Neurospora crassa OR74A: one gene and its partner. The protein of the gene in region 2 interacts with the protein of the main gene of each other region in a biochemical or structural test. Links are inferred from orthologs where the notes say so. Each region holds a gene or a part of one and is shown on either strand. Other genes may lie near its edges. The genes, in order: mak-1 and NCU02558.

Region 1 (3,917 bases), on a different chromosome or scaffold from region 2:
GAGAATCAGTAAAAGCCATTCCAAATGCCAGGCTTATTGCGTGACCATGGACTCTTCTGGACGACGCCACCACGATCAAGAGCTTTATTGCAGTGTCAACATTCAGCGTATCCAATAGAATTATGACTATAAATGACAACGTAAACATCTCGCTCCAAAGTCCTCGCTGAAGATCGCTTCAACTTTCCACTTAGTCATAGTCCTCCCTCCTGACTAGGAGAATAGAATGAGATACAGAAAGAGTCTCTCCGGTGAGCCACTCACCACCCTCTGGTATCTGGCCAGACATCGAAAAGAACTCCCGGTCTGCCTCTGACGCCTGCTTTTCCAAGTGCCTTCCTAGGGCTGACTGTTGACAGCCCGACCAGAACTGCTGTCCCACTCTGTCATTGAAGACCGCCTCAATGGCGAGCCGTTCCCTTCTCGGGGGGTTTCCAACACGATAATACTATGTCGTCGTCTTTTCTGTTTTTTGCAGCCAAGGCATCAACCCAAGATGTGTTTGAGCATCAGATGCTTGCCGAACCAGCGTTTCGTTCTCATTATCGTATATAGAAAGGTTTCATCCTTCCGTCATTGCTTACATGCCACCAAGCTCGGCCTCCAGGCCACCGTTGTACGCGCCATACTCATGTGGCCTAGGATCTTCAGCAGTCCATTGTTGGCTGTGCACATCAGTAGGCATGGGCACCTGAGCGGGAGCCTGGGGTTGAGCACCGCCCTGTCCTTGACCACCGGGCACGGTGCGCACAAGCTGTCTGAACCTGAAGACTTCATCGAGAATCATCTTGCGCATCTCGCCGACATCATCGACAACCTCAAAGTCGAAGTTGAAGGGGGTAGGGCAGTCGGGCTCGTCGCTGGCATCGTGCCAGATGGCAAGGTAGGGGTGCTTGAGAGCATCCTCAACGCTGATACGGCTGGTAGGGTCGAAGGCGAGCATGCGGTCGAGGAGATCGAGGGCGTCGGGGTTGGCCTGGGGGAAGAGCTGCTGGAAGGACTTCTTGGGCATGGGAGGCAGGTTGCGGACGTATTCCTGAGCTCTAGGAGAGCCGATACGGGAGAGGGTCTCCTCATTCGGTGTGCCGAGGATGTGCAGGATCTGGTTCAGCTGATCGACGTAATCTCTGCCCTTGAAGAATGGGCGGCCACCGAGAAGCTCGGCAAGGATACAGCCAACGGACCATACATCAACTAAGGAATGAGTGTTAGCCTGAAAACGATATCAAGGGGGCAGCTTGAGGAAAAGACATACTGGCTTTGGTATAGTTCTGGAAGGACAACATGATTTCAGGAGCACGATACCATCTCGTGGCAACGTACTCCGTCATGTAACCTGCGTTCTCCTCGGGGTCGACGGAGAAACCACGCGCAAGACCAAAGTCGCAGATCTTGAGCTCGCAGTCGGCATTAACCAGCAGGTTACCGGGCTTGAGATCACGGTGCAGAACGTTTGCCGAGTGGATGTACTTGAGACCGCAAAGAATCTGGTAGATGAAGGACTGGAAGTGGGCGTCTGTAAGTGGCTGACCGGACCTAATGATAGCAGCAAGATCGCACTCCATCAACTCTGCAAAAGAACCCCCAGGTTAGTATGTAGGCCCATCTTCTCGTGAGGCATGAGCCATGACGTACCCTCGTAGAGATAGGTCTCGTTGAACATCTCTGGCCGGGGAATGTCCATATCGTAGAGGCAGGTAATCTAAAGAACCAGAAATCGCCACGGTCAGCTACCATGCATCGATTGTAATATGTGTATGTGAGCAACCTACGTTACGGTGGCCCCTGAAGTGTTGGAGGAGCTTGATCTCGCGCAAGGCGCGCTTGGCTAGGATCTTTTTGCTGAAGACATTGGTGACCTTTTTGATGGCGACTCCCTCGTTCGTCTGGGTGTTTACGGCGGCGCTGTTTAGGAGGAAAGGGAGGTCAGCTTGAATCATGAGAATATGGCATGACACATGTAGATGCGCCGCGGCCCAAAAGCACAAGCGGCTAAGCAGGAACGGGAGCAGGAGCAGGTGGACGTACCAGACAATGCCATAAGCTCCCTGACCGAGCTCCTTGGTGACGGTGTAGCGCTCGTCGACAATAAAGTCCTGATTGAAGACCTTGAAGATCTTGCGACCCACGAGATCAGCCATGGCGAATGTGTCTGTGTGGTGTTTCGGGGACGGTTCGTAGTTGGAGAGAGAGGTGGTTCGGGTGACCTTTAGGCGCAAGTTTGGCAACGGCCTGGAGGTGGTGTCGTGGGGTATGTAAGCTCAAGCGCGATCAATGTCTTGAGAAGTTCGGACGGGGGTATTTGAGAAGTGTCGAGGAAGAGTATACGGGACAAAAGTAAGATGTAGATTGAAAAGGCGGGAGCAAGGCAATAGACAACCGGCTAATGTAGCATTGAAGCCAGGCAGAGATGGAGAGAAAGAAAGAAAGAGGAAAAAAGTGGTGATGATCAAATGAGGTTTGCAGAGGGTAGGGTGGTCCTTGGCACAAGTACACTACTGAAGAGTCGGAAGCCCCTGGGATACTGTAGTCTAGTGCGTGATGGGATATATGTGTGCCACCTACTCGGGCAATTTGCTGACTGGGCCGGAGCTGAGCTTGCGCTTTGGCTTCAACTTGGTGCTATTGATTGCTAGTTTACGGTTGGCGTATTTTAAGAGAAGCAATGGAGACGGGATTCGAGCAGCTTAGGTTGTTTAAACCGACGATGGATATCATTGAAAGTGGAAAACGAGCAGTGACGAGGGGAGAGCTTGAAGAGAAGCTCGTGTTTAGCGAAGTCAAGGACCTGCTTGGCCGTGGACCTCAATGGTGCAGTGGCTACCTAGGTCCCCTGGGCTCGAAGCGGACACTGGAATGGTGAGGAGAGGAAAGAGGGGCGCCGAGGGACCCCGACCATGCGACCGACCACTGCGCTGATCCCGGCACCAGAACGGGACCTGAGCGAGGGGCTGTCTGTGAGGCAACGCGGGGTCCGCTTCCATTCCCAAGAGCCCGCCAATGTCAGCGGGCGCAAAAGTGCAACAAACCAACGTGACTGACGAATGGCGGCTTGTCGGTTCCTGACGAATGATGGCCGTTTTCAGGCTTGTCGCTGGTTGCCTCTTTTCCTGTCCTTCTTTCCACTTTCCCATCCATCATTGCCCAGGGGTACTAAGTACCTACTCATTGCTGAACGTTTAACTCGTCCAAGACTTAGGTAGTTTCCATTGCTTACAATGGCGGCCTCTCTCATCCTTGAATGCAATGAAATCTAGGCCCGTGAGCATCGCATTAACAACTATAAAGCCATAAAAAACCACCCCCCCGTCGAAACAGAACAAGGCCATTACCATAATGCTTGCCGCCTTGAAACAAAACAAAAACACACCGAGAATTCAAACAGAGGGATCGCCTGGCTTGGGGGCGCCTGTTTTGGGCGGCGGTCTCCCCTTGCCCAGTCAACAAATGTTACTGCAAAGTCACTCCACAGCGGAAATCACAAGGGAACGGTACCTGATTCTACCCCACCCGCTGCGTCCCCGCTGTGATTTGCAACCCTCCTCCGGCGGCCATTTTTGGTTTTGGCGCGCGACTACGGCCGCCTCCCCACTGGCCGGCGTCTAAAAGATTCGCAATCATCACTACCATCATCTCGATGAGTTCGAAGGGGGAACGCATTGTTTACGGATCGTTGCTTGCTGCTTAAACGAGGTGGAAAATCATAAAGTTTGATTGTCCATGTACACTATGCCTCGGCAGATCTTGGCTTTAACTGAGGGCGTCAAGGTGACGGTTTGCGGACAACACCGAATTGAAAGACCTGGGAGTGCTTACCTCTGGGCCCGGGCAAGGCAAGCTCCGGGGCTGAGCTTCATCCGTGATCCGGCGGCCGTCCGGACGGCGGGCCCTCTCCGAACCCTCGCCTTGAATTATAA
Region 2 (3,917 bases):
ACCCGGAGGACGTCGTAGGTACAGCATATGTGAAGTCCGAGACATCCCGAAGGCCGGGGCCGTCATGCTGTCTGTATGTAGTATGTACCTTTCTTGCATACCGAGACGTCCACGAGGGTACGTACCGGGCTGAAGGCGGGAGGAGAGAGCTGGGACGAACCGATCCAAGCATTTGGATGACCAGGGGTAGCATCGTCAGTCGTCGCACTGTGACAGCGACTTCAACCTCAACCAAGCTATGGCCAAACGCACATGTGCTACAACGCGCTGAGAATTGGTTAGCAGAAGGCAAAAGGAGACATATACTTGTTGAAATCAACACTGCTGGCAAAGCAATTCGTTCGTTTCATTATCAATGGTGAGCCGGGATGGTTGAATGGGTGATATCAGATCGTTCCGGCAAATTAGTGCAGGCTTTTGATCGACATCCATGTTGCGGAGCGAGGTTAGCTCGAGGTTAGTCAATTCATCAAGCAACGAAATATGTCGTACCCTATCCCCCCTCGTTGCATGTCATTGAACCCTGGTTACACCGACAGTGAAAGACGCACGCAATCTTTTGGAACGACTCCGAGCAGACATTGCGAGGGGGCGTTCTACTGGGAGGTTAAAAGGCTTAGTTTTGTGCACGTGAGGGGCGTTTCGGGGGGTAAAACGAAGGAATGCTTTCACAAACGCTCTATGTTTCATCCGCAACGAAACAATCGGCTTCTTAATCGATCTTCGTACTACAACCCAAACCTTGCATTCTTGTGTCTTCCCCAGGAATTGACCAAGTCGAAAGGCGTCCTTTGTTGTCCTGAAAATCCAAGCCTAGGTAAATGCGGCTCGATTTTCCACGGGGACGGGCTAGTCTAAACTCTGTTTACTGTGCATCGGATGTTTGTCACAGCCTCACAGTGTCCCTGAAGCGTGAAGCGAGATGGCGTCGGCTGGCTGACGGAAGGGTGTCAACCAGTTGCGGGGTGTTTTGGGCTTTCACGTTCGTCCTCTCGTCCAAACTTCCGGCGCAAATACAGGCCAGAGTAGGACGTGCCAGATGGGCAGAAGAACGAAAACCAACGCAATGGACCCTGTCGGGGATGAGAGATGAAGGAGAGCCTTGTCCGCCAAGACCTGACTCGTGTGTCCCTCGACTTCCTTCGTTGTGATTGCCCGCAGTTGATGTAGGTGTCCCTTGGGTGGTGTGGTATCCACCTCGCTCCGGCTGCTACAGTACCTAGTGTACACTACATAGGTAAGCACCGTGGCACCCACGCTCCACGGCAGGGCACCCAAGGGACCGGACCCTCCACCCCCCTCCACAACCTACGGTAGTGGCTTGAATGGGTAGCCCGTCCGTCAGTTCATCCCCAGCCGAACTGTGTGTTAGGAGGTACTAGTGCAGCGGTGCCCCAGGCCCTGGGCTCTCCCCCCTTCGCGCACTCCCGTCGCTCGTCTGTCCTCTTTCCCCCAACTTGCGTGTGAACGTGAAGAAGACGATCTATTATTAGCATCATCAAGCCAGCCTCATCTGCATCGACCGGCGCCGCAAGGTACTGCAGTACTACAACGTCTTCGAACATCCTTTGCATTGCTAGATATTTTATATCCAGATACCGGCTGCCGACGAAGAGCTGGCGACCTTGCCGGTGGTGTTGACGACTTCACTCTTCTAGCAGACGTCCTCCCCGAATCCTCCATTAGCAGCACATCCAGCTTCTGCATCAATTTCGTTGTCCTTGGCCATCGATAGGCCTTTGCTTGTTCTTTCACTGCAAGCGTCGACATAGTGCCAGTCGCATATATATGCCAATCGTGCCTCCACAGCATCATCGGATCGAATCACTCCCGTTCCGACCCGAGGACCGCATACTCGGCGCTGTCAACTACAAACATCCGACGACATCCCGACTTCCCAACGCGTTGTCTCACCACTCACACGTTGCTGTTTTGTCGAATCCATCGTGTTGATAACTGATACAGAATTCCACTTCCGTGGCCCCGATAAAATCACACCTGTATTGATCTGATCGCAGTGCTCTGCACATACACCTCGCCAAGATGGGCAGGAGGAAGATAGAAATCAAGGCCATTAAGGATGACAGGAATCGCTCTGTGTAAGCGTTCAACCTCGGTGGAAAATGCTCCATTGTAGCTGGTACTGATGCTCCGGAACACACAGAACATTCTTGAAGCGCAAAGGGGGGTTGTTCAAGAAAGCCCATGAGCTTTCCGTCCTGTGCTCTGTCGACGTTGCCGTTATTATCTTTGGCAACAACAAAAAGCTGTACGAATATTCATCCAGTAATATTCGCGATATATTACAACGATATACCTACGTAAGCAGACCCCAAGAAGATTGTTTTTTTTCGACATCAAGTACTTACCATGATACACCGTACAGCACGGAGGACCTAATGAGCACAAAGGCCCTTCCGATTTCAATGGTGGCGCCGACGACGATGACGACGATGACGAGAATGGGACTAATTCGCAAGGGGAACAACATATGATGTACCAACCAAACCCGCCAGTTTCATACCCCTTTCTCCGGCACACAAGTCTGTCGGACTCACCCCCAGTACCAAACGGCGCGTTCGGGCCCCAGCCGGGACATCAAATGAGCCGCGCCCATACTCCCCAGCCGCCCTTCGTCGCTCGGCCACCATCTGTCAACGATATCCGAAGGCTGAGGCCCGGGCAGCCGGTTCGTCCTGCGGGAGTCGCCCAGGAACTTCAAAATAGGAGCGCCTTTGTGCCATCGCCTCCCATCTACAACTCACAACCACCTGCTTCCATGGCGCCTACTCACGGTCTTCCCACACAGCTGCATCCCCAGTATCCCTTCCAGCCGTCTCAACCACCTGCTCATTCCATGCAACAGTTCGAGGACCAGAGAAGATCGCCTCTTCCTCCGACTTTTGTGTCTCAACCACCACCACATCCAGCACATCGCCATTCTACGTCCCCGCCTGAACTTCTCCAACCGCAGATCCCGCAGCAACAAGTACATCGCCATTCTGCCTCTCCTCAAGTTCACCAAGCCCAGCTTCCACAGCAGCCGCAGCGGCTACCGAGCGCAAATATGTCGCCTCCTCCGCCACAGCCAGCTCAACCGCCTCAGCAGCAGCAGCAGCAGCACCGTCACCAGCAGCAACAACCTCAGTCTATGCCTAATCAAAACCTTCAACCTCCTGCACCGCCAAAGCCAGAATCTATGGAGAGACCACGCCGGCTGATCCCCGCGCTGAATACGTCGGTCAAGAACCCTGGGCAGGGCAGTGTTTTTACGCCAATCGAACCAGAGAACAAGTCTATTCTGTCACAGCATTTTGCCGCGTTCCGTCCAGAAATCAAGTCCGAGTCGCCGAACAATCGGTCGCAGTCTGTCGATGGCGGTAACGTATCTAAGCCTAATACCTCTACACCATCTATCCAGCTCTCCAGTGCACATGGCCAGGGGTCAGCTCAAAGAACGAATTCATTGACGGTAATCTCACAATCGACGCTTCCTCCGCCATCCCGGCCCCAACACCTACGTGTGGGAGGTGGACCACTGCGACCGCGGCTTAAGGTGCAGATTCCGGACGACTCGGATAGCGGAAGCGCTGCTGGATCGGCAAGTTCTCCTCGTGTTACAACCACAACGGACTCCGCTCCACAACCGCTAAAGACCGGCTCTGTACTTCCACCACCGTCACCATCGGCCTCCAATCTACCTTCTGCGGGTGCCACAGGACCACCTAATCCCTTTGCCCCTCGATCAACAATTCAGCACAACAACAATATGAACATTGACACTCCCGTTTCTGCTCTCCCATCTCGATTTCTGGGCGATCTGCTGCCTAGTCCCAGCAGATTCTATCCTGAATGGGGATATGGCATCAGCGCGGAGAGCAACACGCTTCCTAGTCCATTGAACTTTGCTACACCTG

What was found.
Region 1: of the proteins of NCU02558 (region 2) and mak-1, one has a biochemical effect on the other in vitro, tested with the Saccharomyces cerevisiae proteins (2 studies listed by BioGRID). The link is inferred for Neurospora crassa OR74A from reciprocal best matches to the Saccharomyces cerevisiae genes RLM1 and SLT2.

The regions. Positions count from the first base shown.
Region 1 is NC_026505.1:5,920,065-5,923,981, reverse strand, and holds the start of mak-1 (mitogen-activated protein kinase MKC1), read right to left. Parts: upstream 2,810-3,917; 5' UTR 2,142-2,809; coding exon 2,029-2,141; intron 1,906-2,028; coding exon 1,773-1,905; intron 1,703-1,772; coding exon 1,636-1,702; intron 1,571-1,635; coding exon 1,256-1,570; intron 1,195-1,255; coding exon 581-1,194; 3' UTR 1-580. UniProt on the Saccharomyces cerevisiae protein: Serine/threonine protein kinase involved in a signal transduction pathway that plays a role in yeast cell morphogenesis and cell growth.
Region 2 is NC_026501.1:2,729,812-2,733,728, forward strand, and holds the start of NCU02558 (MADS-box MEF2 type transcription factor), read left to right. Parts: upstream 1-1,384; 5' UTR 1,385-2,043; coding exon 2,044-2,099; intron 2,100-2,164; coding exon 2,165-2,321; intron 2,322-2,386; coding exon 2,387-3,917. UniProt on the Saccharomyces cerevisiae protein: May function as a transcription factor downstream of MPK1 that is subject to activation by the MPK1 mitogen-activated protein kinase pathway. Binds to the DNA sequence 5'-CTA[TA](4)TAG-3'. At least some RML1 target genes are involved in cell wall biosynthesis.